4 linked regions of the Saccharomyces cerevisiae S288C genome follow. The protein of the gene in region 1 purifies or fractionates together with the protein of each later gene. This does not show direct contact. Each region holds a gene or a part of one and is shown in the gene's direction. Other genes may lie near its edges. The genes, in order: UTP13, UTP18, UTP8 and ESF2.

Region 1 (9,112 bases):
AAAAGGAAATTTTCAGTTATTGTTCCGATTTTTCCGTGTGGGGTTCGGGATGCCTAGTTGTTCCGTAATGCGATTGAAAGATACACTTAACTAGGAGGCTGCTAGTACGCGACCCCTACCTACGTATTGCAAAGATGTTTGAAGTATCAACGGGTGTAGAACTTTGCAATCAAGCAAAAGCTAGATAGTTCCATTATGAATTGTGACGATGTTACCCGTACTGCCTACTACATCTCTTTATACGGATTGAAATCTCTAAAGGTTGCCCTGCCCGTCGTTTCTTTTTCGTTGGAATTCTTTTTTTTTTTTTTTTTTTTTTCATCTCATCACTAAATTGATTTAAAGTACAACTAGGGAAAAGAGACTAGATAATAGGTGCTTTACACGTTTTGACGTTTAGCTTTTACGGCTCTTTAATTGACTTGCTGTAAGTATTTGTATAATCATTGGTAATATTTGAATACATTCGAAACACTTGCTACAAGAAATTAAAAGGAGGAACTCTTCAAAAGGCTATATTTAATTACTGCTTATTTATTACATTCCTCCCTTTCCACAATTCTAACATAGGACAAACCTATAATATTTTTTTTAACTTCGGTGAGCATCATAAGCAATAACCATTTCAAACATAGTAATATTCATTCTACGAAATTCATTTTCAAGCTTGTTGAAATTGAAGGAAATTCAACAAGGAAGCAAATAAACAAATAAGGAAAAAACAACCGGCAAACTGGAAACAGAACGAAATGGCAGGCAAAAAAAGTCCTCGAAAAAGTACGATCAATCATAGTACACATTCTGGTAAACTGCCAGCAAATATTAAAAGGCTCATAAAAAAGGGCGAATCCGATACAAAGTCCAGGCAATCACCACCCACACTGAGTACAACGAGGCCAAGAAGATTTAGCCTTATATACTCTTCTGAGTCATCCTTGAGTGACGTATCTGATTCTGATAAAAACAAAAGTACAAACCCACATAAAATTAAAAGAAAAGCAAAGAACATTTCAAATAATTCCCAAGGAAAAAAAAGTAAACTTATACAAAGGCAAATAGACAATGACGACGAGGGCACAGAGTCATCCGATTACCAAGCTGTAACAGATGGCGAAGAGAGTGAAAATGAAGAAGAAGAGAGTGAAGAAGAAGAAGAAGATGATGACGAAGACGACGACGACGATGATGATGACGGAAGTGATAGTGATAGTGATAGCGAAACAAGTTCTGATGACGAGAATATAGATTTTGTCAAACTGACGGCCCAAAGAAAGAAAAGAGCCATGAAAGCTTTATCTGCCATGAATACAAATAGCAATACACTCTATTCCTCTCGTGAGAACAGTAACAAAAATAAATCAGTTAAACTATCCCCTAAGAAAGAAAATGAAGAAGAGCAGAAAGAAGAAAAAGAAAAAGAGAAAGAAGAGCAACAAAAACAACAAGAATCAAACAAAAAAGAAGTAAACGGTTCAGGCACTACTACTACACAACAGGCGCTATCGTTTAAATTCAAAAAAGAGGACGACGGCATTAGTTTTGGTAATGGTAATGAAGGCTATAACGAGGATATAGGTGAAGAAGTCTTGGATTTAAAAAACAAAGAGAACAATGGTAATGAAGAAGATAAACTGGATTCTAAGGTGATGTTAGGTAACAACGATGAGTTACGATTTCCCAATATTTCAGAGTCAGATGAATCTGAATATGATATTGACCAGGATGCGTACTTTGACGTGATTAACAATGAAGATTCTCATGGAGAAATTGGTACAGATCTTGAAACGGGGGAAGACGATCTTCCCATATTGGAAGAAGAAGAACAAAACATTGTTTCTGAGCTACAAAATGACGACGAACTCTCATTCGATGGTAGTATACACGAAGAAGGGTCTGATCCTGTAGAAGATGCTGAAAATAAATTTTTGCAAAATGAATACAATCAAGAAAACGGATATGATGAAGAAGATGACGAAGAAGATGAAATAATGTCTGATTTTGATATGCCGTTTTATGAAGATCCTAAATTTGCAAATCTTTATTATTATGGCGATGGTTCAGAGCCAAAGCTATCCTTGAGTACATCTTTACCGTTAATGCTAAATGATGAAAAACTATCTAAACTAAAAAAGAAAGAGGCCAAAAAACGGGAACAGGAAGAAAGGAAACAAAGACGAAAGCTCTATAAAAAGACGCAAAAACCTAGTACGAGAACAACCTCCAATGTGGACAATGATGAGTATATTTTCAATGTTTTTTTTCAATCAGATGATGAAAATAGTGGCCATAAGAGCAAGAAAGGCAGGCATAAATCGGGCAAAAGTCATATTGAACATAAGAATAAAGGCTCGAATTTGATAAAATCCAATGATGATCTGGAACCATCCACTCATAGTACGGTCCTGAATTCCGGGAAATATGATTCTTCTGACGATGAATATGATAACATTTTGTTGGATGTTGCCCATATGCCTTCAGATGATGAATGCAGTGAATCTGAAACGTCCCACGATGCTGACACGGATGAAGAATTGAGGGCACTAGATTCAGATAGCTTAGACATTGGCACAGAACTGGACGACGATTACGAAGACGACGACGATGATTCCAGCGTGACAAATGTGTTCATAGACATCGATGATTTAGATCCAGACTCTTTTTACTTTCATTACGACAGCGATGGATCTTCCTCTTTGATAAGTTCTAACTCAGACAAAGAAAATTCTGATGGATCCAAAGATTGCAAACATGATCTCTTAGAGACTGTTGTGTACGTTGATGACGAATCCACAGATGAAGATGATAACCTACCGCCCCCAAGTTCAAGGTCAAAAAACATTGGCTCAAAAGCAAAGGAAATCGTAAGTTCAAATGTTGTTGGATTACGTCCACCAAAATTGGGTACTTGGGAGACGGACAACAAACCTTTTAGTATTATTGATGGTCTGTCTACTAAATCATTATACGCCTTAATCCAAGAACATCAACAGCTTCGCGAGCAACATCAAAGGGCTCAAACCCCAGATGTTAAAAGAGAGGGAAGCTCTAATGGCAATAACGGTGACGAATTGACACTCAATGAGCTGCTAAACATGAGTGAATTGGAGGATGATTCACCATCCCACACAGACGATATGGAGAACAATTACAATGATGCAATTAATAGCAAAAGCACAAATGGCCATGCTGCAGATTGGTATGAAGTTCCTAAGGTTCCATTATCTGCATTTAGAAATAAGGGTATTAATGCCTATGAAGAAGATGAGTACATGATACCAGCAAATTCTAACAGAAAAGTTCCCATTGGCTATATTGGTAATGAAAGAACAAGAAAGAAGATTGATAAGATGAAAGAGCTACAACGGAAAAAAACTGAAAAAAAAAGGCAGTTAAAGAAAAAAAAGAAGCTTCTTAAAATAAGAAAGCAAAGACAAAAGGCAATAAAGGAGCAAGAAACTATGAATTTACAATTGGGAATCAATGGCCATGAGATCATCGGTAACAATAACAGCCATAGCGACATAAATACCGGTACCGATTTTACAACCAATGAAAATACCCCTATGAATGAACTTCCCTCTCACGCACCTGAAGATGCGTCATTAATACCTCATAATTCTGATCTTGCCGTGGACAGCAATACAAGGAAAAATTCAACAAAAAGTGTTGGTTTAGATGAAATTCATGAGATTTTGGGCAAAGATGAAAATGACTTACTGTCTGTAGGTGATATTAACGGTTATGATGCACAAGAAGGTCATGTGATCGAAGATACTGACGCCGATATCCTAGCATCGTTAACCGCTCCTGTGCAATTCGACAATACATTAAGCCATGAAAATAGTAATTCCATGTGGAGAAGAAGGCAAAGTATGGTGGAAGCAGCGGCTGAAAATCTTCGTTTCACTAAAAATGGTTTATTTAGTGAGAGTGCATTGGCAGATATCGAAGGAATTATGGGCAATGATGTTAACCATTCATTCGAATTCAATGACGTCTTACAATGAGCTATTTTGCATTTTTTTATGGTTACTACAATCAAATCACCTTTCGTTTACAATATCATCATCAGTATGTGACTTTGCCTTATTCTACTCTGAATTTTGCTTTATCGTTGGTTGAAAAGAATTACATGTTATTTTTTTACTTATATATGCATATTTTTATAGAAAAACACAATCAATATTTTTTTTACTGGTATAATCCGTCCAATCAGACGTATAAAAGTAAATAAGCCTCAAGCAACCCCATTTGATGGATTGCCTTACTCTTCGACTCTAGTTGAGATGATAACCTCATCCACTCTTCTGGCGATTAAGATGGAGCTTCTTAATATATCCGTGTAAAGCGACTGAAAATTTTCTGAAAAATTCAGCTCATCGCTCTCAGATATAATAGCGGTATGGCATTAAAGGTGTGAACCAACAACATAGTACTCTCAACGGTAGTAAGCCATACTACGTACAATATGGATCTGAAAACCTCATATAAAGGTATATCGTTAAACCCTATTTATGCAGGAAGCAGTGCTGTTGCCACTGTTTCAGAAAATGGTAAAATACTAGCTACTCCGGTGCTTGACGAAATCAACATAATCGATTTAACCCCAGGCTCCAGAAAAATTTTGCACAAGATTTCTAATGAAGACGAGCAAGAAATTACTGCACTGAAATTAACTCCTGATGGTCAATATCTCACGTATGTTTCACAAGCTCAGCTTTTAAAAATCTTTCACCTTAAGACCGGGAAAGTTGTCAGATCAATGAAAATCTCTTCTCCATCGTACATTCTCGACGCAGATTCCACTTCAACGCTTCTCGCAGTCGGAGGGACAGATGGTAGTATAATTGTTGTGGATATTGAAAATGGTTACATTACTCATTCGTTCAAAGGTCATGGTGGTACAATTTCCAGTTTGAAGTTTTATGGACAATTGAATAGTAAAATATGGTTATTAGCATCCGGTGACACCAATGGTATGGTAAAGGTTTGGGATCTTGTTAAAAGGAAGTGCTTGCACACATTACAAGAGCACACATCTGCTGTGAGAGGGTTGGATATCATTGAGGTACCAGATAATGATGAGCCAAGCCTAAATTTACTTTCCGGTGGTAGAGACGATATCATCAATCTCTGGGATTTCAATATGAAAAAGAAATGTAAATTGTTGAAAACACTTCCAGTAAATCAACAGGTAGAGTCATGCGGATTCCTAAAGGATGGTGACGGTAAACGCATAATTTATACAGCCGGCGGTGATGCTATCTTTCAGTTAATTGACTCTGAATCTGGTAGCGTGCTTAAAAGAACCAATAAACCTATAGAAGAGTTATTCATTATTGGTGTACTTCCAATATTGAGCAATTCACAGATGTTTTTAGTATTGTCTGACCAGACATTACAACTAATTAACGTTGAAGAAGACTTAAAGAATGATGAAGACACAATACAGGTCACTTCGAGCATTGCTGGTAATCATGGTATTATTGCTGACATGAGGTATGTTGGCCCAGAGCTGAATAAATTAGCTTTAGCTACCAATTCTCCATCGCTTAGGATAATACCCGTCCCCGATTTATCAGGCCCAGAAGCTTCGCTGCCTTTGGATGTCGAAATTTATGAAGGTCATGAAGATTTGCTAAATTCATTGGATGCTACTGAGGATGGCCTGTGGATCGCAACCGCCTCTAAAGATAATACGGCTATTGTTTGGAGATACAATGAGAACAGCTGCAAGTTTGATATTTATGCCAAGTATATTGGTCATTCAGCTGCCGTAACTGCTGTTGGATTGCCAAATATAGTTTCAAAGGGATATCCTGAATTTTTATTGACAGCATCGAATGATTTAACAATTAAGAAATGGATAATTCCAAAGCCAACTGCTAGTATGGATGTTCAAATCATCAAGGTATCCGAATATACTCGTCATGCCCATGAAAAGGATATCAATGCTTTGTCAGTTTCTCCTAACGATTCTATTTTTGCAACAGCATCATACGACAAGACCTGTAAGATCTGGAACCTAGAAAATGGTGAATTGGAAGCCACGTTGGCCAACCACAAGCGTGGACTATGGGATGTATCATTTTGCCAATATGATAAATTATTGGCAACTTCTTCAGGTGATAAAACAGTCAAGATATGGTCATTGGATACATTCAGCGTTATGAAAACATTGGAAGGTCATACCAATGCGGTTCAAAGATGTTCGTTTATTAATAAGCAAAAACAACTGATCAGTTGTGGTGCTGATGGCTTGATCAAAATATGGGATTGTTCTAGCGGTGAATGTCTGAAGACTTTGGATGGTCATAATAATAGATTATGGGCTTTAAGTACTATGAATGATGGTGATATGATCGTAAGTGCTGATGCAGATGGTGTTTTTCAGTTTTGGAAAGATTGTACGGAACAAGAAATAGAAGAAGAACAAGAAAAAGCTAAATTACAAGTCGAACAAGAACAATCGCTTCAAAATTATATGAGCAAAGGTGATTGGACAAATGCATTTTTGTTAGCAATGACTTTAGATCACCCAATGAGGTTGTTTAATGTTTTGAAAAGAGCTTTGGGCGAATCAAGGTCTAGACAAGATACCGAAGAGGGCAAAATTGAAGTCATTTTCAATGAAGAATTGGACCAAGCCATCTCTATCCTAAATGATGAACAGTTAATTTTGTTAATGAAACGATGCAGAGATTGGAATACAAATGCAAAAACACATACCATAGCGCAAAGAACAATAAGATGTATTTTGATGCATCATAACATAGCAAAATTGAGTGAGATACCCGGAATGGTAAAGATAGTTGATGCAATAATTCCATACACGCAAAGGCATTTCACAAGGGTTGATAACTTAGTTGAACAAAGTTACATATTAGACTACGCGCTAGTGGAAATGGATAAGCTATTCTAGGCAGTAAGTCCAAGATATTGAGCCTTTAAAAGCAAGGCAATAGCAACATATTATTTTGTAAACTAGATATATAAAGACAAAATGCATTGATGAAGCGGAAAGCTTAAAATAATTCGATATATAATTAGGTGCCTTTACGGGCATTGAAAACTTCTTTGCGCGAAGAGCTCATCACTAAAAATTTGCAAAAAACGAAGAGCGAAAACTTTCATATATTGTAGTAATATATACAAGAATTTAAACTGCCCACTTGAAATAGCACGGAAAGAACTAGCCATAATATATTATACAGGATGTCGGCAGGTGATATATCAGCCATAAATATCAAGTCTGTCAAAAAAAACAGAAGGAGGAAGAAGAGAAGAACAGCTGATGTTTCATCATCAGATTCTTCATCATCGGATCCATCATCAGAAAGTGAAAAGGAGGAAATCCAAAATGGGGCCATCGAAGAACACGTTGGAGAAAATGGTAAAAGTGATCATGTTTTCTCAAAAGGTAATGACGAAGACAAACAAGAGGACATTGCAATAGAAGTTTCGGATGTCGAGCTTACAGACGAAGAAAGCAAGGATTTGAAGTTAAATTCAAAAGAAGTGATAGACGATTTAACCAAAATTTCTTTGAGCAAGATCCCAGAGCCTACGAAATCTCAAAACAAGGAGGGTTTTATGAATGCATCGAAAATTGCCGAAAATATCAAGCTTGCGAGAGAAGAATACAATGAATTGGCAGAAAACTTTGTGCCCAAAGGGAAAGACAAGACAAAGTTAAGGGAAGAATACTTAAATTTACTTTTTGAAAACTACGGTGATGATATCAATCGTCTTAGAGCTGCCCCGGATTTCACGAATAAATCACTATCCATTTTGGCAGATGCTCTGCAGGAAGGCATAGGAATGTTTGATATTGGTGAACTAGAATTGGTCTTGAAAAATAAAGAAATGGAGAACTGAAAAATATTGCTTTAAATCTTTTTCTAAAAGTTTGTCATGTTTCCGCGGAGAATATATTGACGTGCACATTAATTATTTAGATAATTCTTCGATTTTTAATGAAGAGCGGTCCTGATCCAAGTTGTGCTTCATATGGTATAAAGCTGATTCCAGTATACTGCACGAGAAGTATATGTATGTATTTTGTAATTTATATAAAGGCAAAAAAAAGAAAAACACTTGGGCATAATGGAGGAGAAGATCTTATGACCTGATAGTCAAAGAGAAAAAGAAAAAAGCAGAAGGAGCAAAGAAAGGCGGCGACCAAATGACGAATTAGATCCAATGAAAAACGATTCAATGCGAATAAAGGTTATCATGGATCACCTGATGGGCCTCTTGGCAATAGAAAAAGAAACTAGTTTGAAATTCATTAATATAAATAAATTTAAAGAGGAGAATATAGAAACAAATTAAAACGTAAAAGAAATGTATGTCGAGAAAATCCAGCCCAGTTCCAAGTATATAGCAAAGCTTCTCAATCCCAAATTTCTTTACAATAAATATGTATAGTGTTGTTACTTTACACTTAACCCAGTAACTTAACAAAGAACCAAGCCGCACCTGCTGCTACACCACCCACAACAACCATTTCAACACCTTCCGTAACTTTCTTTGAAGTCGAACTGCCACTACCCATGGATAGTTTTGTCTTTACGTAACCAAACCAGAATAATGTTACAACCATGACTATTATAGAATAAATGAGACCTGTGCCCACATCTGAGACAAAAAAATATGGCACTAGTGGTACTAGCCCACCAAGTAGATAACCGCCACCGATAGTGACTGCACTGATTAGTTCTCTATTCTCGGCAGGTTCGTCTAGACCCCTACCGTACCTGATAATGAAGTCAACCATTAGCTCAGGTGTTCTTTGTAAATCTTTGATGAACGAAACGATTGTTTCGTCCGAGAAATTAGGGTTAATCTCTAACAGAATGTCTTCAATTTCTCTGTTAATTAGGTTGGAGTTATCGTAAAATTTCCTTTTCTCCTTCTTTACTTCAGCATGATAATAATCAGATTCACTCTTCGCTCCCAAATAGCCACCAAGGCCCATAGAAATCGCACCTGAGATCAACTCAGCAAAGCCACCGGTAATGACCAATTTCGCATCACCAAGTGAAGATAGACCAGCTGTTAGAGCAAAGGGGACGGTTAAACCGTCGCTTAGCCCGATAATCAAATCGCT
Region 2 (8,100 bases), on another chromosome or scaffold:
TTCTGCAGATGGATCCAAGAAAATTGTTGGAAGGGCACAGTCCATTAGTACCACGAAGGATTCCAATGATGCAAAACCCAGCACCGTCAAAACTGAAAAAATCTACTTTGACGATGGCACGGTAGACATTACTACCACCACTACCTCCAAGGGTTCCAGTCCCCAGGTGAAGCATAAAGTGGTGAGTGTTGACGAAGACAATTAGGACATATTTTCGTTTCCTTTTTTTACTCATATCTTACACAATATGCCTTGTATATATCGCACGATTATGACCTTGCGCGTGTGGAAAACATGCGACTGCTAAGGGGAGATCCACACACACACACACAAAAGATCAATACACATTTTTGACAATATATAGCATCAATAAAATACATATAAGCGATTCACATAGTTCAATATGAAGGTTGTTAAGGAATTTAGTGTCTGTGGTGGCAGATTGATCAAGTTGTCACATAACTCGAACTCTACCAAGACCAGCATGAACGTCAATATCTATTTGCCTAAGCACTATTACGCCCAAGATTTTCCAAGAAATAAGCGTATCCCAACTGTGTTTTACCTTTCTGGCTTGACGTGCACGCCAGACAACGCCTCTGAGAAGGCTTTTTGGCAGTTTCAAGCTGACAAGTACGGATTTGCAATAGTCTTTCCGGATACGTCCCCACGTGGTGACGAAGTAGCCAATGATCCTGAGGGCTCCTGGGATTTTGGACAGGGCGCCGGATTCTATCTAAATGCCACCCAAGAACCATACGCCCAACATTACCAGATGTACGACTACATTCACAAAGAACTCCCACAAACATTAGATTCTCATTTTAACAAGAACGGTGACGTAAAGCTGGACTTCTTGGACAATGTTGCCATCACAGGCCATTCGATGGGGGGATATGGTGCAATTTGTGGGTATTTGAAGGGCTATTCCGGAAAGAGATACAAATCTTGTTCTGCCTTCGCCCCTATCGTGAACCCTTCCAACGTTCCCTGGGGTCAAAAAGCGTTTAAAGGTTATCTGGGCGAAGAAAAAGCCCAGTGGGAAGCGTACGACCCATGTTTATTAATCAAGAATATTAGACATGTGGGCGACGACAGAATTTTGATCCATGTAGGAGACTCCGATCCCTTTTTGGAAGAACACTTGAAACCGGAATTACTACTTGAGGCGGTGAAAGCCACTTCATGGCAGGACTACGTGGAAATAAAAAAAGTTCACGGCTTTGATCACTCCTATTACTTTGTCAGCACTTTCGTTCCAGAACATGCTGAATTTCATGCGCGAAACTTGGGTTTGATTTGAGAGGCATCGCATTTCATTATGGTAATTTTTATGACTTTTCTATGTACATATTTAGTGAAATATACGTCCGTAGAAAAAAATGGCCAAACATAGTTATCCTTTCAAAGGTTATTCGCAGTAGATTTTATGTCACCTGTAACTTCCATTACTATTGCTATTATGTGGTTAATTGGCATCACATCCGACGAATTTAATAATATGAAATGAAAAAAACGAAAAATAAAAAAATTTCACCTCATCTCATCGATCACTCTGGTCCTGTTGTGGTATCGTTCTTGAAAGTGTATATCAGCCTACATTAGTGCGACAATGACAATGGCAACAACCGCAATGAATGTTAGCGTACCTCCACCAGATGAAGAAGAACAGTTACTAGCCAAATTTGTATTCGGTGATACAACAGATTTACAAGAAAATCTCGCTAAATTTAATGCCGATTTCATTTTCAATGAACAAGAAATGGATGTTGAAGACCAGGAGGATGAGGGATCTGAATCAGATAACAGTGAAGAAGATGAAGCGCAGAACGGTGAATTAGACCATGTTAACAACGATCAGTTATTTTTTGTGGACGATGGTGGTAACGAAGATAGTCAAGATAAGAATGAAGATACCATGGACGTGGATGACGAAGATGACTCTTCAAGCGATGATTATTCTGAGGACTCTGAAGAAGCTGCTTGGATAGATTCGGATGATGAAAAAATTAAAGTGCCTATTCTTGTTACCAATAAGACAAAGAAATTAAGAACCTCCTATAACGAGTCCAAAATCAACGGTGTTCATTACATCAACAGATTGAGATCTCAGTTTGAAAAGATATATCCAAGGCCCAAATGGGTGGACGATGAATCTGATTCTGAATTAGATGACGAAGAAGACGATGAAGAAGAAGGCTCTAATAATGTTATTAATGGAGATATTAATGCTCTAACGAAGATCCTGTCTACTACTTACAATTATAAAGACACTTTATCGAATTCCAAACTATTACCCCCTAAGAAACTTGACATTGTGCGTCTTAAAGATGCAAATGCATCACACCCGTCTCATTCCGCCATACAATCTCTTTCATTCCATCCTTCTAAGCCTCTACTGTTAACGGGTGGGTATGATAAGACCTTAAGAATATATCATATTGACGGGAAAACGAACCATCTAGTGACAAGTTTGCACCTGGTTGGGTCTCCAATACAAACATGTACTTTCTATACTTCTCTATCAAACCAAAATCAACAAAATATATTCACCGCCGGTAGAAGAAGATATATGCATTCCTGGGACTTATCCTTAGAAAATTTAACTCATTCACAGACTGCCAAAATCGAAAAATTTTCCAGATTGTATGGACATGAGTCCACTCAAAGATCATTTGAGAATTTCAAAGTTGCACATTTGCAGAATTCACAAACAAATTCTGTCCATGGAATTGTCCTTTTACAGGGTAATAATGGTTGGATTAACATTTTACATTCCACTTCCGGACTATGGTTAATGGGCTGCAAGATAGAAGGTGTGATAACGGATTTCTGTATCGATTATCAACCTATTTCACGTGGTAAGTTTAGGACCATTTTAATTGCTGTAAACGCGTATGGTGAAGTGTGGGAATTTGACTTGAATAAGAATGGCCATGTTATAAGAAGATGGAAAGACCAAGGTGGCGTGGGTATAACAAAAATCCAAGTTGGTGGTGGGACAACAACTACTTGTCCGGCTCTTCAAATAAGTAAGATAAAGCAAAATAGGTGGCTTGCGGTAGGTAGTGAGAGTGGATTTGTTAATCTTTACGATAGAAATAATGCTATGACCTCGTCGACCCCTACACCTGTCGCCGCCTTGGACCAGCTAACAACTACCATTTCTAATCTACAATTTTCCCCTGATGGTCAAATACTGTGCATGGCATCCCGTGCAGTCAAGGATGCTTTGAGACTAGTTCATCTGCCTTCTTGTAGCGTGTTCAGCAACTGGCCTACCAGCGGGACGCCTTTGGGTAAAGTTACCAGTGTCGCATTTTCGCCATCTGGTGGGCTACTGGCCGTGGGTAACGAACAAGGTAAAGTGAGGCTCTGGAAATTAAACCACTACTAAATTTCCATTTATAGACAAACTTAGATATTAAAAGCAATGTACAAATACATACACAAAATATCACTGTAAAAAAATTGCGAAGAAACTTGAAATTGAATATGATTCTGCCCACTTTTTTCTTGCTGTCATTTATAGTCAGAAATGAAAAATTGTCCGAGAAATTAAATATAATATATGGAAAAAAAGGGGACATTGAGTTTAAAGAATTTGATTAAAATGTCCTCTCAATATCCTCTGTAAGAGTTATCTAAATCTCACTTTACTTATTCATCTCGCTGGGAATTATGCAGGCGGTAGAGAGAAGGCCCTCGTTACTCTTTGACGAATATCAAAATTCTGTTACTAAGCCTAATGAGACGAAGAATAAAGAAGCCAGGGTCTTGTCAGAGAATGACGGTGATGTCTCCCCATCTGTTTTGAAACAGAAGGAAATATCAGTCGATGATATGGATATGATTTCTTTGCCCACGGAATTTGACAGGCAAATGGTTTTAGGTTCACCTATGTTTTTCGATCTTGAAGACGAAGAAAACAAAATTGATCCACTTCCTTCAGTTTCCCATCATTATGGAAATGGAGAAAGTGACAGCTTTGTCTCATCGTACACGCCCTCAAATCTGAAAACGGGTGAAGAAACTAAAGATCTTTTCATTAATCCGTTTGAATTGGTTTCTCAAATGAGAAAAAGATACATTGCTGCTTCCAAACAAGATGGCATTTCAAACATAAAAAATGACACTGAAAAGTGGTTTTTATACCCAAAACCACTGCCAAAGTTTTGGAGATTTGAAGACGATAAACGATTCCAAGATCCCTCTGACTCTGACTTAAATGACGATGGAGACAGTACTGGGACCGGAGCCGCTACACCGCACCGCCATGGCTACTATTACCCAAGTTACTTTACCGATCACTACTACTACTACACAAAATCTGGTTTGAAAGGAAAAGGAAATATAAAAGTACCATACACCGGTGAATATTTCGATTTAGAGGATTACAAAAAACAATACATTTACCATTTAAGTAATCAGGAAAATACGCAAAACCCACTTTCACCTTATTCTAGTAAGGAGGAGTCACTAGAGGAAGAATTTTTAACAGATGTGCCTACGTTTCAAGAATTTAGGGATGATTTTGCATACATAATAGAGTTAATCCAATCTCATAAATTCAACGAGGTTTCACGAAAGCGATTATCTTATTTATTAGATAAATTTGAATTGTTTCAGTACCTAAACTCTAAGAAAGAAATTTTAGCTAATAAAAATGTTCCCTACAGAGATTTTTATAATTCTCGTAAGGTAGATCGAGACTTGTCTTTAAGTGGTTGTATTTCTCAACGTCAATTGAGTGAATATATATGGGAGAAAATAAATTTAGAACCTGAAAGGATAGTTTATCAAGACCCGGAAACGTCAAGGAAACTCAGTTTGAGAGACATTTTTCAGTTTGGTTGTTCTTCTAATGACCAACCCATTGCGATTGGGTTGAAATTGATTGATGATGAATTCTTGGATTGGTATAGAAATATTTACCTAATAGATTACCATCTAACTCCTAACAAAGTAGCAAAGTTGGTCGGCAAAGAAATGAGGTTTTACCTATTAGCCAAAGTGTTTCTGGAGTTTGATAATTTCATTGAAGGTGAGTACCTAGCAGAAATTTTCATAAAATACGTTATTCATATCCTCGAAAAATCAAAGTACCAATTGGCCCAAGTATCAGTTAATTTTCAATTCTATTCCAGTGGTGAAGACTGGTACAAGAAATTTTCTCAATGGTTGCTACGATGGAAGCTAGTATCGTATAATATCCGCTGGAATATACAAATTGCCAGGATTTTTCCCAAACTATTCAAGGAAAATGTCGTGTCAAATTTCCAGGAGTTTTTGGATCTTATCTTCAATCCTTTATTCACTCTGGAAAAGGAGCAGTTACCAATAGATTCATCTGTAAATACTGATATCATTGGTCTGCAGTTTTTTTTATCAAATGTGTGTTCTATGGATCTGGTCATTAAAGAGTCGGATGAATATTACTGGAAAGAATTTACTGATATGAATTGTAAGCCAAAATTTTGGACAGCACAGGGTGACAATCCAACTGTTGCGCATTACATGTATTATATTTATAAAAGTTTAGCGAAAGTTAATTTTCTGCGGTCACAAAATCTTCAAAATACAATCACCCTAAGAAATTATTGTTCTCCACTATCCAGCAGAACTTCCCAATTTGGAGTGGATTTATATTTTACAGATCAAGTTGAATCGTTAGTGTGCAACTTACTGCTTTGTAATGGTGGTCTGCTACAGGTAGAACCGCTTTGGGATACTGCAACAATGATTCAATATTTATTTTATCTCTTTCAAATACCCATTTTAGCTGCGCCATTATCATCTGTTTCATTACTGAATTCGCAAAAATCGACCTTTTTGAAGAATAAAAACGTGCTTCTAGAACATGATTATTTGAAAGACCAGGAAACAGCCAAAATCAATCCTTCTAGAGATATCACTGTGGGCGAACAAAGATCATATGAGACAAATCCTTTCATGAAAATGTTTAAGATGGGACTAAAAATTTCTTTATCATCAAAATCGATTCTTTACAATAGTTCATACACGCTAGAACCTCTCATTGAAGAATACAGTGTAGCAGCAAGTATTTACTTGCTGAACCCAACAGATTTGTGCGAGTTGTCGAGAACAAGTGTGCTATCTAGTGGCTATGAAGGTTGGTACAAGGCTCATTGGATTGGCGTTGGAGTTAAAAAGGCGCCTTACTTTGAGGAGAACGTGGGTGGGATAGATAATTGGTACGATACAGCGAAAGATACCTCGATAAAGCACAACGTTCCGATGATTAGAAGAAGATATAGAAAGGAGACATTGGATCAAGAGTGGAACTTCGTTCGGGATCACTTTGGAGTAATTAACTCCATTTGGTAGGGTAAAGTGAAATATCAACAACTTTGCATAGTAAGATATATATATTTATATAGATACCTTAAAAACTGAAAATGAAAACTTGAAAGTTAAGGAGGAGGAGAATGCGTCTTTGTTTCATGAAATATTTTTTTCATTTTCCCAACTTGGCTTGATGTCCCTGACAGACCTCATGAATTCTCTTAAACGTTTCTTGTCACGTAGTGCCCTCTTAGCGTATTGAGGGTTACCGTAGTAAAATAGTTTAAATTGGCTTTGCTTTTCATCACAGTGTTCGGGGTCTAAGTCAATCGACAAATCTAGCACAGCAACGCTACGTTGAAAATACCACTTGTTCACCACATTGTCTTTTCTGCTTCTCCAAAGTATCTCATTAGGAAATTTTTTGAACATCAAATTGAAGATTATATCAGATATACCCAGCGAGCCTTTCAAGTGTGGTAGAACGGCGAACTTATCGAGATAAACAAAGGAATTTTCCTCCGAGCCTTCATAGGTAAGAATTGCAATGCCTTCATAATCACCTATCACAATAATTGTAGCTATTTTTCCATTAATCCTTTTTATGTAGTCATGCAAATCCAAAGATCTTTTAAAGCTCTGATCGATGATGGATTTAAATTTGTTGATATCTAGTTTTGGACTATTGCTCGAGGGTTTTGCTCCTTTCTCAGGTACGTGAAACTTCTTTGGAAGCCCAATTGAGTTGAATTGAGTCAGCGTCTTATAGTCATAAGTTTTGATATGGACGCCCTTTTTGAGAACAGTTGTCACTAAAACTGCATCTGAGTTAGAAGGAGCTGCATTTACCTGTTGGGAAGGCAATTCATACCATGCGTGATCATCAAACATGTTGGCTGGTGAGTCTATCTCGCCGTCCTTTTTTTTAAACCTTGGTAAAGAAGAAGAAATTAGCGATCGGTCTGTCAATAAATTATATACTAAAGGATTTTTCCTATCTGATGATAGTGCGGCAGCTTTGACAGTTGTAATCAGTCCCGTTGCTGTAGCCGCTAGATTTGATAAAACTTTGTCCATCAATAACAGGTTTTCTAAATGATCATGGTATTCACATTCTAAGGAAGATATCTCATCTTTTTTAACGTACACCTCCATTCTGTGTAACAGGTTTTGGGAGCGTGGCTCTCGTTTGGTTAGAGTGCTTATATTGTGAGATAATGACGAGGACAAATGCTCGAGTTCCTGAGAAAGATTGATGAATACATGAGCGTTATCATTTCTCTCTCCCGAAGGTATACCTCCGGCATTATTTAGAATGAAGAATTTGTCAATGTGTGGAATATTCCCTTGGCACAGGCAATCCATAAATTTTACAACATCCTTTGTCATGAATTCTGAAGCAGTCTCTTCATTATACACATAAGGTTTCACAATTGGTATAAAATTGGAATTTCCAATATCAAAGAAACGACTCTCTTGCGAAAAAACAGAATGATATAACCCAGTGCGGGATTTAGTAAGACCCTCCTTAAGGTGAAGTGGCTTTAAATCTGCTTCTGTAACGATACTGTCAAGTAACTCTGCCTGTATATTTACATGAGTTGGCGACGGCGGAATTACAAACATAGGTCGCAAACCTAGCATTCCTAGTCTCTTTATGACACTTGAAAACTGGGACAAAATCGCTGGTGCGACTTTATGCAGGTCCCTGATAAAAAACAAACAATGATTATGCTGCCCACTATCATTTGTATATTTTGAGAGATAATCCTTAGCCTCTCGTTTTGTAGCGGT
Region 3 (8,772 bases), on another chromosome or scaffold:
ACCCATATAATGAATCCGTAACCAGACCATAAACGGCGGCAAACATACAAAAGTTCACTCGAGAACTATGCTTTGTCTGTGTACCTATCAGGCCGCTGATTAGACCTATGGATATAATAAGAAAAACAGCATTTATGATGCGCACTAAATTATCTGCAGCTGATAGCATTTATTATTGTTGTTGCTTTATTGTTATTTAAAATTCCAATGAATATGAAGCCTCTCAAAAGCTTAACATACTCTATCGTGCTTCCTCCCATCGCAAGAAGGATTTACTGATACAGCCAATTATTATAATTTATATTTATACTTATATCTGCATCCAAGGCGCGATAGGCCCTACTTCCCACCTGCCTGTGCAAAACATTGCTCATTGTTCGTAAAGGAAATCTTCAACAGATTTTAAACGGCATGCCGCCAAAGGGTTCGTAAAGAGGAAAAGTTCATGAGAATACAAGCGCGACATTCTGCCGGCACAATGCGGCGCAGGAAAGAGATACCAAAGGAGTGAGATCTCAACAGCATGTGCCACATCCGCGCATATACAATAAATGTAACAAGCGCCCCGAAATGGAGCTACGAACTATCCCAGCACTAAAAGCACATATATTGTATTGTCGCTACTGCAAAGTGCTAAACATCAATAATTTCGAACAAGCGGAAATAAATCACAGTTCTTTCAATTGCTTGCCTCCCAATACGCCACTGATAAATGTCAAAATTTCCACGTCACCGACCCTTCAATGGTAGCAATAGAAAGATCTACAAAGGCTATGAAGTAAAGGGTTCTCACCTTAAACGGCTGAACAGGAATAAGGGGTGTGCGGCCGGGTAGCGAGTTGCTTTTTTAAATTGAAACGAGGAGAAAAGAACCGGGAGAGGGGTAGTCGAATGCTGAACAGTGCAGACAACATACCATTCTTATCCATCGTTCTGTCATATATATCATCGTTCTTGTGCTTGCTACCCCGTGGACCCTCGTACATCTTAAACCTGAGAGCAGCTGCACGCAATTAAAAGAAAGAGGTCAATCAACTACGTATTCAAAACATGCTATTCAATATCAACCGTCAAGAAGACGACCCCTTTACGCAATTGATCAATCAATCTTCGGCAAATACGCAAAATCAGCAAGCGCATCAGCAGGAAAGCCCTTATCAGTTTTTGCAAAAGGTTGTGTCCAATGAGCCAAAAGGTAAGGAAGAGTGGGTCTCGCCATTTAGACAAGATGCCCTCGCCAATAGGCAAAACAACCGGGCATATGGGGAAGACGCAAAAAACAGAAAGTTTCCTACCGTAAGTGCTACTTCTGCCTATTCAAAACAGCAACCTAAGGATTTAGGGTACAAAAACATACCAAAAAATGCTAAGAGAGCCAAAGATATTAGATTTCCAACTTACCTAACTCAAAATGAAGAAAGACAATATCAGTTACTAACTGAGTTGGAACTAAAGGAGAAACATTTGAAATATTTGAAGAAGTGCCAGAAAATTACTGACTTAACTAAGGATGAAAAAGATGACACTGACACTACTACTTCTTCGTCCACTTCTACATCATCATCGTCATCGTCATCGTCATCGTCATCGTCATCGTCTTCATCAGATGAAGGGGACGTTACTTCTACTACCACATCTGAGGCCACTGAAGCAACTGCTGACACTGCAACTACGACAACCACTACCACCAGTACTTCTACTACCAGCACTTCTACTACTAATGCTGTCGAAAATAGTGCTGATGAAGCAACTTCCGTGGAGGAAGAACATGAAGACAAAGTGAGTGAGTCTACTTCAATTGGCAAAGGCACTGCTGATTCAGCTCAAATTAATGTAGCGGAACCAATCTCATCCGAGAATGGGGTGTTGGAACCACGCACTACAGATCAAAGTGGCGGTTCAAAGTCAGGTGTCGTGCCAACAGACGAACAAAAGGAGGAAAAATCCGATGTAAAAAAAGTCAATCCTCCCAGTGGGGAAGAAAAAAAGGAAGTGGAAGCGGAAGGGGATGCAGAAGAGGAAACCGAACAATCGTCTGCAGAGGAATCTGCTGAGAGAACGTCTACTCCAGAAACCTCGGAACCGGAATCCGAAGAAGATGAAAGCCCAATCGATCCAAGCAAGGCTCCCAAGGTCCCTTTTCAGGAACCTTCTCGAAAGGAAAGAACCGGAATTTTCGCTTTATGGAAAAGCCCTACTTCTTCATCTACCCAAAAAAGTAAGACCGCCGCTCCATCCAATCCAGTGGCCACTCCAGAAAATCCTGAATTAATTGTAAAGACAAAAGAACATGGTTACCTATCAAAGGCAGTTTATGATAAAATCAATTATGATGAAAAAATTCATCAAGCATGGTTAGCTGATCTTCGAGCAAAGGAAAAGGATAAATATGATGCTAAAAATAAAGAATACAAAGAAAAGCTACAAGATTTACAAAATCAGATTGACGAAATTGAAAATTCAATGAAGGCCATGAGAGAAGAAACTTCTGAGAAAATTGAAGTTAGTAAAAACCGGTTGGTCAAAAAAATCATTGATGTTAATGCCGAGCATAATAATAAGAAACTAATGATATTAAAAGACACTGAAAATATGAAAAACCAAAAGTTGCAGGAGAAAAATGAGGTCTTGGACAAACAAACCAACGTTAAGTCAGAAATCGATGATTTGAACAATGAGAAAACGAATGTCCAAAAGGAGTTCAATGACTGGACCACGAACTTAAGTAACTTATCTCAACAGTTGGATGCTCAGATCTTTAAGATTAACCAGATTAATTTGAAACAAGGCAAAGTTCAAAACGAAATCGATAATCTGGAAAAGAAAAAGGAGGATTTGGTTACCCAAACTGAAGAAAATAAGAAGCTGCATGAAAAAAATGTACAAGTTTTGGAAAGTGTAGAGAACAAGGAATATCTTCCACAAATTAATGATATTGATAATCAAATATCAAGCTTATTGAACGAAGTGACCATAATCAAGCAGGAAAACGCCAATGAAAAAACTCAACTATCGGCAATTACCAAAAGACTCGAAGATGAGCGCCGCGCTCATGAAGAACAGTTGAAGCTAGAAGCTGAAGAAAGAAAACGCAAAGAAGAGAACTTATTGGAAAAACAGCGCCAAGAGCTGGAGGAACAAGCGCATCAGGCTCAATTAGATCATGAGCAGCAAATTACTCAAGTCAAGCAAACCTATAATGACCAATTGACTGAACTACAGGATAAGCTGGCAACCGAAGAGAAAGAACTGGAGGCAGTCAAGAGGGAAAGAACGCGATTACAAGCTGAAAAGGCTATCGAGGAACAAACTCGCCAGAAAAACGCTGATGAGGCCTTGAAGCAAGAAATATTGAGTAGGCAGCACAAACAAGCTGAAGGTATACACGCGGCTGAAAACCACAAAATACCAAATGACCGTTCACAAAAGAATACGAGCGTCCTTCCAAAGGACGATTCCTTGTATGAATATCATACTGAGGAAGACGTCATGTATGCCTAAAAAAAATAATATTCCACTTTTGTTCAAGGAATATCCCACCTCTATTTTATTTTTCTCTTCTATTCTTTGTCGAGTATCATCAAGTTATCCTTTGATTATTTTCACCCTTCCTAATCTACCTCTCTTTGTAACCGTTTTATGTACCAATATTTACTCAATCAACAATTTATCAACCAGTTAGTTATTCTCTAGTGTTTCGTGCTCAAATAACCGAGTAAGATGGACTCTCTTCTGAAGCACTTTTGCGGGCATTTAACCTCAGCTCGTCACGTGACGGTCGATGAAAAATCCAGGGTATTAAAACTTTCCTTTGGTTATATCGGTATATTCTAAATAAAAGAGAAGCTTATTCTGATCCTTTTGATTCCCTGCTCAATTTTTCATTGAATTGTTTATTTTTGTCATTAATGAAGCTTTCAACCCCATACAGTGTTTTTGCATTTTGCATTTGTCTTTTTCTTGCTTCGTATCTTTTTTTCGACTCAGATTGCAAAGAAACGGCCAACTTATTAACTAGCTTGTCGTCATCTGCAATTGTTATCTTACCCGTCTTAGTGTCCTTCTGTACCTTGCCGATTCTACCCTTCTTGGGTACGTTTTTATTGTCTTCTTCATCGGCGGAACTATCCTGTTTGCTCGAATTCTGTGTTTGCGTAGCGAGATTCCGCAAGGTCTTCTCATAACTCAATTTTGCAAGTTGATCATAGGAAATTCCACCTCTTTGGCTTTGCCCAGTCTTCCCTTGAGGATGCCTACGTTCCCACGCATCATATTCTTGGACAGTGTAATGAAATGCTTTCTCTTTTTCAGGACTTTCTGTATCTCCTACTGATTCATCTGCATCATTTACGTCTTCCATACTGTATACTCTTGGTTTTCGATTTGCGCTTACTTCCTGAATCTCTCTGTCAGCCAACTTCCTACTCTTTATAGATACATCTACTCTTTTCCTTTTCAACTCCTTCAGCTTCTCGTCTAATTTGTAAAAATCCATTCTTCGAATACTTTGACAAGATATGGTTTTGCTTCGCTTACAGTTCAATAGAGAAGTCAAACATTGTCATTGAGAGCCCCTCATCGCAAATATTGCTCTTTTAAGGAAAATATAGTAATATTCTAGCTTTTTTGTCATTCTACACGGAAATGTCTGTATTTTTCAAATTTTTTCATTATGCTGTAGCAGATGCCTGAAAAATTTGAAAACTTTGATGAGATGAGGTCACTGTTAAATTTGTAATATTATATGTCACACCTAGCGCTCCTTGAACAGCAAATCATTCCGGAGGATAGTAAAGATTCAAAATGCCATCCCTGTCTCAACCATTTAGACTAGCAACTCTCCCAAAAATTGCTTCATTGAGCAATTTTTCTTTACAAGCAGATTACGTTCAAGTCGCAGATGGCACCTTTAATGAATCTACAAATAACATAACGTTAGGTATTTCCGGGTCATCTATATCTCAATATATTATTAATCCTACACCAAAGTTAACATTCGATTACCCAATACCCTCTACAAATATTATCACGGCATGCAATGCTGAGAAAGGTCAAGCGAACATTGACGGAAATATAGAAGCCAGTACCGATGATGAAGCCAACAACGAGAAGACTATCAACACCCAAAAAAAAAGAAATGTTGAAATTTGGGCCTTTGGTTTAATGGTAAATAAGGGTAATTATACGCTAAATGTTATCACTAAGGCACTGGAAGATACCACTGATACCTCAAATGACCATCTGAGTGAGAGTGATATTGACAATAAAGCATACACGGGTTCAGACGAATTTTTATCTCAGTATAAGATCAAGGCGAAAGCCAAAGTCATGAGTATTAAAATTGACACCAAGAACAGCTTAGTAATTGCAATTTTACAGAACGGGTTGATTGAAATTTTTGATTTTAAGTTAACACTTTTGCATTCATTTGATATATCTTATGATAACTTAAAATATGCTAAATGGTTCACTGAAAATGGAACTGAATATGTTTTTGTTCTCTGTCCATTACAGGATGATAAAGTCTGCTATAAATTGCTCGAGCTAACAGATTGTGGCAGTGGAGAAAGTTCGCCCATAAAAGAATTATCATCTACTATCATCGAAGGATTTTCTTTTGAAAATTCAAAGCTTTGTTATCAATTTGGAAAACTTTACAAATTGAACCAGGGGAAAATATACATTTACTCTTTACCACATTGCCAATTGCAACAAGTTATTGAATTTCCGATGGTGGATAAACTCAGTCCTGGAGATGACTTAATCTCTTTCCAACCTGTTTCAGTAAACAGAGTTCTACTGACCGTAAACAACGTCATTTATCTACTAGACTTACTGCATTGTTCTACTTTAAGCCAAAGAGAATTAACTCACGTGAAAACATTCCAACTATTAAAATCTGCAGTGATCAATTCAGAAAAGTCGCATAATTCAAAAACAATAGCAATTGGTATTTCAACGAAAAATGGACCAAACCCAACGTCTTCCTTAGAAATAATTAATATTGATGTTGGAACTAATACGTTGAAGGACTCATTAGGCAAGAGTTTTCAAGTTGGAAATAATGATAGCTCAGTTATTTTAAAGCCGCTATTTGATGATAAAGACATAAATGACAAGAGAGTGAAATGTAACGACGTCAGCGGGGATTCAAGCGTTCCAGTCCTCCACTGTAATGAAGTTATTGAAAAGCTTTCAGCCCTTCAAGATAATGACATTACATCATTTGATGACATATTTTTCAAAGAACTAAAAATCAAAGAAGAACATTATACTGAAAAAGATAGATATATTTCTGATCCTGGCTTTTTGAATAAAGTTTTAGATCTAATTTTCGGAAAGTTTAGCGGAAATGATTATCCAAAAACTTTAACGTTTTTATTGACACACCCATTGTTTCCATTGAGTCGTACACGCAACTTGCTATCCTTACTAAGAGACCAACCTAGATTATTTAAACAAGCAATTGTAACATGCCCAAACTTGCCATTAAATGAACTACTTGAAGAATTGTTTTCTATCAGAAACAGGGAACTATTACTTGATATCTCATTTAGGATTTTGCAGGATTTCACCAGAGACTCTATTAAACAAGAAATGAAGAAACTAAGTAAATTAGACGTTCAAAATTTCATTGAGTTCATAACAAGCGGTGGTGAAGACAGCTCACCAGAATGCTTCAACCCTAGCCAAAGCACGCAGCTATTTCAACTCTTGTCCCTTGTGCTAGATTCTATCGGGCTATTTTCATTAGAAGGTGCTCTATTGGAGAACTTAACCTTATATATTGACAAACAAGTTGAGATTGCTGAAAGAAATACCGAATTGTGGAATTTGATTGATACGAAAGGTTTTCAGCATGGGTTTGCTAGCTCAACCTTTGATAACGGAACTTCTCAGAAGCGAGCCTTACCCACTTACACCATGGAATACTTGGACATTTGAGTATGCAATGAATTTGATTGTATTGTATAATACCTATATAGAAAAGGAACTAATATATATAGCGTCTACTGTGGTTACTGATAAACTAACAGGCATTTAGAATTTGAAAACATCATATACATTAGATGTGTCCAACAAGAGATACCGGAATGTTCTGAGGGGAAGAAGATGGAATTTAAAGCTAGTTTGAAATAAAATGGAAGATTGTGATTTTTACAATTTGAATTTAAACCTTTTTTCCTCCTTAGGTGAGGTTACCGAATACTTGCGCACGTCTTCATCTGAGCTATAAAGGACCCTTTCTATAAAGGTAACTCTCGTTGAATCCTTACTCACGAGTAAAACTATTTGAGAGCGAGTTCCGTAGTAATCACCATCAGGAATTGAGGCACCTAAGTCATCCCTGGGAGGCCTCCGTAAAGGTGGTACGTATATGGTATTCATGGTTACATTTGGATCTACCATCTGCAAGACATCTGGGTTTGAAATAGTGCTTGGAAGGGAAGACTTCGAGGCGAGTTGAAAGCAACTTGATATTATTTTCTCCTCATCTGATTCAATATTCTCTAAAACTAGATTTTCTAAACTATCACGTGCTACCTTTACTTTTTCCCAAGCCTGCCCTGGTATACTGGAGCTGTCATAAAATTTACCATTAGAAACAACCATGTAAGAATCAAGATCTTTCCTACAGGTAGAACTCAACACATCAAAAGTTCTTCCTAGAGAATCAATAACTTTATATTGCTTTTTGATAACGTCGCCGTAAAAAAAATTAAAATCACCTGTGGACTTCAACCCATCATAGTGACCTTCAAACTTTTTGTAATTATCCCAATCTTCAAAATCTGCTTTATGGATCGACAAAAATATAAATGGTAACAGACCACGGGATCTTGATTTCGTATTATTTTGCTCATTGTCAAGTTTTAAATTAAGAATAGTGGCTAATTTTCCTTCTTTATTTATGCCAGACCAAGTGCCAAATATTTGTTTTTCTGCTGAGGTTTTGGCCAGATCGTAGGGTGAAAGGATAAAATCATTGTTATGCCAGCATGTAGCATGTGTTTTTCTTGCCAAGAATTCGTCTCTGTTAGATATTAAGATGAGTTCATAGTCAGGATGTGCCCTTGTGGCCATTAAAATGCACATTATTTGTTCGTTAGTTTTTGGTTTTTAATACTTTAGCCACAGGTGTGTTAATAAATGCAAGCGTTTCTTTCCTTTTCTGCCTCACTTCATATACTACTATCCTACTCCACTTTCAGGGGGAGACTATTTTTTTAGCGCTTTAGGAATTGAACGAAAAAGTCGAAAGCTAGGCAGATGCCAAGAATATAATGTGAGGCAAAAAAAAAAAAAAAAAAAAAAAAAGAATGATTCTGAAGTAAACGCATTGCGAACTAAATGTTGCTATGCCACTTAATCGAAAATTCTATGAAAAAACCCCTTGATCCCCTTTTCTGATTTATGTTTTTGATATTTTTCGATCCTCTTCTTATTCTTCTCTACTGCCATGTTCAACTTGTTTGGTTCTAGAGAAGAACCTTGAGAATTTGTAGTAACCTTGGATCGTGTCGAATGCATATCTGTATGGTCGTTAATATGCTCTTTTTTAGTTGAGGATACGCGAGAGTCCTCCCTCTTCAAACTTTCAAGCGTCTTCAATTTGACCAACCCGGTTTCAGTTTCTAAACGATACTCTTCTGGAAATGCAGCATCGTGAGCTGAGTTTGTTACTGGGGCGGTAATATCCGGAAGAGCTTTCTTGTTCAAATTTAAACCATCTTCTTTTAAGGAATCAACTGTTTCTGAGTTGCCCTCTAA
Region 4 (7,511 bases), on another chromosome or scaffold:
TACCCTCACAGTAAAAACAGTACAAAACCTTTGTATAGTTCTAGTCAAATATGAACTCCTTCATTCATGGATTGTATACTATTGTTCTTGTTGAAAGATTCCTCTTGTGATTTTCATGGTGATTTTAAGCCTTTTTTATTGAAAGAATTAAATATTCACTAGGCTGCGATACGATAGACAAACGAAGTGATTGAAACCCGAATTAACGGATATGGCGATTATGTGTGTTTATGATCCCAATATTTGATTGTCGGAAAAAATTAATCATCTATTGGTGTGTACTCATACTACTTGTATCATATACAGTGTAAAATGACGACATAATTGATGGGAAACAGTTATCAAAGTTATTGGATGTTGAATTGCAAGAATTGATGAAGTAATAGGATAAGGAATGACAACGTATAAAATTGAAGGAGAAATAAAAATATATATTATATAGAAGTATCGGGCCCCTTTCGTAGATTCCTATATCCTACAGGATAACTTTTGGTACATTCTGTAGACCTAAGTTCATAGCTTTTATAAACAATTAATCCCAAAAAATGTCTCTTTTGATGATTAGATGTTAAAAGGTGATATTACTGACTACTTGTTCGAAGTGCCTACGCAACACTTTAGCTGCTTTTTTTAAGCAGCGGCAGATGAGGATTTAAATAACGCATAACCAAGAATATACCTAATGAAGTGAAGGTATACAGGCTGTTCTATGGACTTGAATAATACTGGCTACCCTGGCGTCCTAATGTCGTTAAGAAAGTAACTTGATATCAGATTAATCACAAACTTGGTCCACAAAATACCACTTATCTCATATAATCTAAATCTGACTAAAGGGTGTAGGCACGGAACTTCGGACCTAGAGGTATTGCTCAATATGTATATTTCTCAATGGTTCATCTAGGTAAGCAAGGCCTTGAATAATATACTTAATCTTGTCTGTTTCGCAACAATTGCTGAGTACAATAATGTTGGAATAAAAATCAACTATCATCTACTAACTAGTATTTACGTTACTAGTATATTATCATATACGGTGTTAGAAGATGACGCAAATGATGAGAAATAGTCATCTAAATTAGTGGAAGCTGAAACGCAAGGATTGATAATGTAATAGGATCAATGAATATTAACATATAAAATGATGATAATAATATTTATAGAATTGTGTAGAATTGCAGATTCCCTTTTATGGATTCCTAAATCCTCGAGGAGAACTTCTAGTATATCTACATACCTAATATTATAGCCTTAATCACAATGGAATCCCAACAATTATCTCAAAACTCACCCACTCTTCAAATAATGATGTGGTATACTACCTGAAATACGATAAAAAGTGTTGTATTACGGGCTCGAGTAATACCGGAGTGTCTTGACAATCCTAATATAAACAGTCTTAGGGAAGTAACCAGTTGTCAAAACAGTTTATCAGATTAATTCACGGAATGTTACTTATCTTATATATTATATAAAATATGAATCATGCTAAGTGGTGGAAGCGCGGAATCTCGGATCTAAACTAATTGTTCAGGCATTTATACTTTTGGGTAGTTCAGCTAGGGAAGGACGGGTTTTGTCTCATGTTGTTCGTTTTGTTATAAGGTTGTTTCATATGTGTTTTATGAACGTTTAGGATCTCAAAATGTCATACTGACGTATCTCATTTTGAGATACAACAAAAAGTATAAATCTTTGGAGGGTTGGCCGAGTGGTCTAAGGCGGCAGACTTAAGATCTGTTGGACGGTTGTCCGCGCGAGTTCGAACCTCGCATCCTTCAGTATTTTTTTTTATTTTGTCGGGGCCACCAGATCTTTAATGGCAAGACAAAGCGTTTTCAGATACATGAAATACATTGAAGCTATCTTTTTGAAGAAGAATACCTGCGTAGTGTTCTATGATTGTTCAAATAATATTTTAAAATGGTATTTTACTACTGTGTACATTTTATATGCTTAAATAAAAAAGAAAGTAGAGCACCCAATGTACGTGTGGTAAGGAAATAAATGTTCATAATTTTCATTAATGCATCAAACGGGATAAATGTTTTGGAAGAACGCAAATTTTGAAAATAGATTCCATTGGCTCTTGATAGTTGCTTTACGTATATTTTGTTTAGCCTTCTTTCCCTCATATAAGTATGCAGCTCTTCATTTTCCAAACCAGGATGAGATATGGATATATAGTTTCCCACTGAATCTTTGTGTCAATGCTACGCCCATCTTCTGCACGTCAGAACAGAATAACTACCTTGAGAAGAAAAAAAAAATACAAATGGTGGTTACTTGATAATGAATATGCTCTAATTGAAAAGAAATCTCCCTAGATATGATACCGCCCTCGACGACCCGATCTTTGGTATTTGGTAGGACTGTATCATCTTATTCCTCACATCATAGCAATTTTGTTCGTCATAATGTTCCTTTAGTTCTCAGAGTCATATGAATTCTATTTCCATAGAATTTTCCATTTTGAGCAATACGGGGAGTCGCTACCTCGATTCTAAGTTATGCTGCATTGACTTTATTGTGTGATATACATATCGATGTACTAGAAAGGGTTTGGTTTGGCCAAGTTTTTTATTATGAGGGTGCATTTTTTCTGTTTTAACACATTTCTCATGATCCTAATAGAAGGTTGAGTAGAGATGTACATAATATTTTGCGGAAAGTTTCGACACGTTCATTAGGTTCTAAAAAATTATTATTTTTCATAAGCTATTGAGATCTTATCACCTTGCTCTGTAATTCTAAAGTTGTTCTAAAACCGCAATTAATGTTTCAATTTTGGCGCTATTAATAATGATGGATACTCAACGAGGCGTACCAGTAGCATTTTGCCATCTTAACACATTAGCAAACGTTGCTATTATTGATCCTTCCATAAGTAATTTCACACATCCATTTTCGTCCCTAAGATAAAACAAAGTCTCACAATTCGTATATTGATATTTCAAACCCCAAAGCCTGTAGCCTTTTGATTATGACCGACTTCCCAGACGTGGCCATATTGATAAAGGTGCTTTCTGATCAAAGTTAGTATTAAAGAAAGGGTAAAATTCGTAATATCGTAATATTGTAATATGAACCAAAAACGTTCACAATGTGTAGGATGCACTACCAAATAGGTTGCGTTGTAGTACTCATCTCTCGGTTGCGCGACTAGAAAGTTACTAGAAAACTCCGGAATTCCTTATAATATACTGCAATAATGCACATGTATCTTTTCAGTGCAAATTAATTATAGGAACAAACAGATAGCGACAATTCTTTAAGGGCTGCTGGATTGACAACCCCTTCATCGACCATATTTGATTAGCCAGCCACCAAATAGCGTTTCAATTGACAAACTACATTATCTCGTGAAGAATATTTAAACGGTGATATTGGGTCTGTCTGATCACATTTCCAAAGGCAATGACGTGTAAATTTTTTCTTTCTCTTGTTTTATTATTTTGAATTACTTCGTTATAGCCAGCTTTTCTCACATTGCGCAGTAAAACTTTCGCTATTAAGATTTTGAAAAATTTCAACCTGACAAACTACCCATTGCTATGTAAGTACAAAGCAAACAGTTTACTGCAGCAGAGTGAAGTAAATTTTTACGCATGAGTGAAAAAGTAAATAGTGACTTTGAAGACTTTTCCTCAGATGAGGAAACCGATCAACATAACGTCTTAATTCAGACCAAGAAAAAAATTTCTAGTAAGGATGATATCTTCAGTAAGAAGGTAGAAGACATCGAAAGTGAAAACGAGTCAGACATAGAAGAAGAGCAAAAACAAGAAGAAAAAGAGGATGTAGAACAACCAGATAAAGAGAATGGAGAAAAGCTCGATCGAGAAGTAGAAGAACAAGCTTCGTCCACCACTTCACTGGATTTAAAAACAGAAAAACTAAGGCAACTGGTAAAATCAAAGGCCGCCAAGAAGTCTAAACACAAGACTGGGGTGGTATACTTCTCCAGTATTCCACCTTACATGAAACCTGCAAAAATGAGACAAATATTAACTCGTTTTGGTGAGGTAGATAGACTATTTCTAAAGAAAGAGGACGATCAAAAGTACAAGCAAAGAGTTAAAGGTGGAGGAAACAAGAAAAACAAGTATGAAGAAGGTTGGGCCGAGTTTATTAGGAAAAGAGACGCCAAATTGTGTGCGGAGACGTTGAACGGGAACATTATTGGTGGCAAGAAAGGTACTTTCTACCATGATGATATCCTGAACGTGAAGTACCTCCCAGGTTTCAAATGGGCAGATTTGACTGAACAGATTGCCCGCGAGAACGATATCAGACAGGCCAAGTTGGAGATGGAAATCTCGCAGGCCAACAAACTGAACGCGGAATTCATTAGAAACGTGGAGCAAAGTAAGATGATACAAAACATTAAGAACTCTAGGAAGCGCGCCGGAAAAGAAGGAGAGTCTGCAGATTCTCACCCTCACAGGGAATTTAAACAACGTCGTGTGGAAACAAGCCGTGCCAATGCTCCCTCTGATATCAAGCAGCAATCCTCTGGGTCCAAAGACTTGGGTAATGTTCTCACCAATTTACTATAATATAGAATCAATAACAAATATATAAACACAACCTGTCATTTAGCACGTTTTTTTGCCCGATGCTCATCGCAAAAATTTTTCGCTTGAAGAAAAATTTTTCACTTTTCTTCTTTTTGGGCATATAAAGAAGCGTAGAATATATAAAAGATATTTACTACTTGTTAGTACTTTCCCTTAAGTGTTAACTTTGAAGATCTGTTGACTTGCAGCAAAACCACTAAATATCAGGGGAGGAATAATACAATGGGTACTGGTAAGAAAGAGAAATCTAGACGTATTCGTGAAGGTGACACCAAAGATGGTAATCTTCGTGTGAAGGGTGAAAATTTCTACAGAGACTCCAAGAGAGTCAAATTCCTGAATATGTACACTAGTGGGAAGGAGATCAGGAATAAGAAAGGTAATTTAATTAGGGCCGCTTCTTTCCAGGACTCCACAATACCGGATGCGAGGGTCCAACCAGATCGTCGTTGGTTCGGTAACACAAGAGTGATATCTCAGGACGCACTGCAGCATTTCAGAAGTGCATTGGGTGAAACCCAAAAAGATACATATCAAGTTCTTCTGAGAAGAAATAAGCTTCCCATGTCATTGTTGGAAGAAAAGGACGCAGATGAATCCCCAAAAGCCAGAATTTTGGATACCGAAAGTTATGCTGATGCGTTTGGGCCCAAAGCCCAAAGAAAGAGACCACGTCTTGCTGCATCCAATCTAGAGGACTTGGTCAAGGCTACAAATGAAGACATTACCAAGTATGAGGAAAAGCAAGTCTTAGATGCCACATTAGGACTAATGGGGAACCAGGAAGACAAAGAAAATGGGTGGACCTCCGCAGCAAAAGAAGCTATTTTCAGTAAGGGTCAATCCAAACGTATTTGGAACGAATTATATAAAGTCATCGATTCGTCTGACGTGGTAATACATGTTCTAGATGCAAGGGATCCATTGGGTACCCGTTGTAAGTCCGTGGAAGAGTATATGAAGAAGGAAACACCACACAAGCATTTAATTTATGTTCTTAATAAGTGTGATTTGGTACCTACCTGGGTTGCAGTATGTTAACTTTTTTTTTTTTTTTTTTGATTCTTTCCAACCAAGAGGATAGCACGAGAGATTTTTTTTTTCGATAGAGTATGATTTTTATTACCAAACCTTTTTGTCAGGGTGCTTCTCTATCCGTTTTAGGATAAACTTATCTACAGAAGTGTCTGTTACTGTTTTGGAAGAGTAATACTGTTCGCTTATCCATATTTCCCCGTTCTGGGGAAGCCTCATGGGTAAATTAGAAGGACAACCTTTGTTTTAAAGGTATACCTTCGCTTTTTAGAACAGCGAGGATCTTATGAGTTGAGCTTTTGTTATTTGAGACTTTATCTCGGGCTCCATACAATATGTTCGTAGTAAAGATCCTCACAATTTTCTACTTTTTTTTTTTTTTTAGTTTAATCCACTCTTCGAAACAATCAATCTCGGCTATAACAATGATTATTACATTCTCTTGGGGCAAAAGATTACCTATTATGAAACAAAATGTATTTTTTACTAACAGAAGGTTTTTTTTTTTCAATTCTAACTTTACAAGTAGGCAGCTTGGGTCAAACATTTGTCAAAGGAACGTCCAACTTTGGCGTTTCACGCATCTATTACCAACTCTTTCGGTAAAGGTTCGTTAATTCAGTTGCTACGTCAGTTCTCACAGTTGCATACTGATAGAAAGCAAATATCTGTAGGGTTTATCGGCTATCCAAACACTGGTAAATCGTCCATCATTAACACATTGAGAAAGAAAAAGGTGTGTCAAGTTGCACCAATCCCTGGTGAAACTAAGGTCTGGCAATATATTACTCTTATGAAAAGAATTTTTTTGATTGATTGTCCAGGTATTGTGCCGCCTTCTAGTAAAGACTCCGAAGAAGACATTTTATTCAGAGGTGTTGTCAGAGTCGAACACGTCACACACCCAGAACAATATATTCCAGGTGTTTTAAAACGTTGTCAGGTAAAGCACTTGGAAAGAACTTACGAGATCTCAGGATGGAAGGATGCCACGGAGTTTATTGAAATTCTGGCAAGGAAACAAGGTAGATTACTGAAGGGTGGTGAGCCTGATGAGTCTGGTGTTTCTAAGCAAATATTGAATGATTTTAATAGAGGTAAAATCCCTTGGTTCGTCCTTCCACCTGAAAAGGAAGGGGAAGAAAAACCAAAGAAGAAAGAAGTTGAGAAGACGGCATAGAGGTAAAAACGGACAACCGGTGTATAATATTAATTTAAGATTACAAGTGATTTTTTTTTTCTTTTTTTTTGTTATTTTTTTTTTTGTTCTTATTATATGGCAGCAAACATTCTTGGGGAAACAACATAGATGGGTAATTATTTAGTTTATAAAGTATAATATTCCAATAGAAAACTTAAGTTCGGTAATGATATAGCCCTCTCTATAGTATAAGGTAAATCTCATTATACCAGTCATTCCAAACGGAATTCGGTCCTTACCCGCTGCTCGCTCTTTTTTCATCATTATGATATTTTCTTTATTGAGTCTTTTCAATTATAGTAGTAGAATGATAACTGACAAGAAAGATCAGTTTGAAGTTTATTAGCGTGTCTCGTTATCAGGGCTTCCTTGTTTTTCATACTGGAAATACTTCGAACGATTAGAAACAGGCAACTCAATTTTATACATTTATAAAGGGTCAAAAAGGATTATGCAATCTATGAATGTACAACCGAGGGTATTAGCTGTAGGAGGTGAGCAGTTTTTCTCTCAGAGGCAGGCTTCTGAACAACACCAGCAGCAAAACATGGGACCTCAGGTGTATTCGCCAAAGGTTAATAGAGCAAGAATGTTTCCTCAAGGGATGCCTGTAAATACAATTAATGGCTCTGTTAATCAGGAGATGAACAATGCCTATCTTTTGAAGCAGAAGAACGAGCCACTGTTAACTCAGC

Evidence for each region.
Region 2: the proteins of UTP13 (region 1) and UTP18 purify together in Saccharomyces cerevisiae (affinity purification with mass spectrometry; 7 studies listed by BioGRID). This does not show direct contact.
Region 3: the proteins of UTP13 (region 1) and UTP8 purify together in Saccharomyces cerevisiae (affinity purification with mass spectrometry; 2 studies listed by BioGRID, with this or other methods). This does not show direct contact.
Region 4: the proteins of UTP13 (region 1) and ESF2 purify together in Saccharomyces cerevisiae (affinity purification with mass spectrometry; 2 studies listed by BioGRID). This does not show direct contact.

The regions. Positions count from the first base shown.
Region 1 is NC_001144.5:577,128-586,239, reverse strand, and holds UTP13 (U3 snoRNA-associated protein UTP13), read left to right. Parts: upstream 1-4,468; coding exon 4,469-6,922; downstream 6,923-9,112. Other genes in the region: IFH1 (Ifh1p), read left to right, coding at 750-4,007; RSA3 (Rsa3p), read left to right, coding at 7,216-7,878; CCC1 (Ccc1p), read right to left, coding at 8,447-9,112. UniProt on the Saccharomyces cerevisiae protein: Involved in nucleolar processing of pre-18S ribosomal RNA.
Region 2 is NC_001142.9:306,219-314,318, reverse strand, and holds UTP18 (Utp18p), read left to right. Parts: upstream 1-1,612; coding exon 1,613-3,397; downstream 3,398-8,100. Other genes in the region: MPM1 (Mpm1p), read left to right, coding at 1-205; YJL068C (S-formylglutathione hydrolase), read left to right, coding at 404-1,303; YJL070C (metallo-dependent hydrolase superfamily protein), read left to right, coding at 3,682-6,348; ARG2 (acetyl-CoA:L-glutamate N-acetyltransferase), read right to left, coding at 6,463-8,100. UniProt on the Saccharomyces cerevisiae protein: Involved in nucleolar processing of pre-18S ribosomal RNA and ribosome assembly.
Region 3 is NC_001139.9:746,123-754,894, reverse strand, and holds UTP8 (Utp8p), read left to right. Parts: upstream 1-4,803; coding exon 4,804-6,945; downstream 6,946-8,772. Other genes in the region: FHN1 (Fhn1p), read right to left, coding at 1-169; YGR130C (uncharacterized protein), read left to right, coding at 1,051-3,501; SYF2 (Syf2p), read right to left, coding at 3,848-4,495; YGR127W (uncharacterized protein), read right to left, coding at 7,159-8,097; YGR126W (uncharacterized protein), read right to left, coding at 8,368-8,772. UniProt on the Saccharomyces cerevisiae protein: Involved in nucleolar processing of pre-18S ribosomal RNA. Also has a role in nuclear tRNA export. It acts between the steps of tRNA maturation/aminoacylation and its subsequent translocation out of the nucleus.
Region 4 is NC_001146.8:720,404-727,914, reverse strand, and holds ESF2 (RNA-binding ATPase activator ESF2), read left to right. Parts: upstream 1-3,608; coding exon 3,609-4,559; downstream 4,560-7,511. Other genes in the region: putative GTPase NOG2, read left to right, coding at 4,803-5,612, 6,145-6,795; CCR4-NOT core DEDD family RNase subunit POP2, read left to right, coding at 7,268-7,511. UniProt on the Saccharomyces cerevisiae protein: Involved in the small subunit (SSU) processome assembly and function, and in the 18S rRNA synthesis. Required for the early cleavages at sites A0, A1 and A2. Stimulates DBP8 RNA helicase ATPase activity.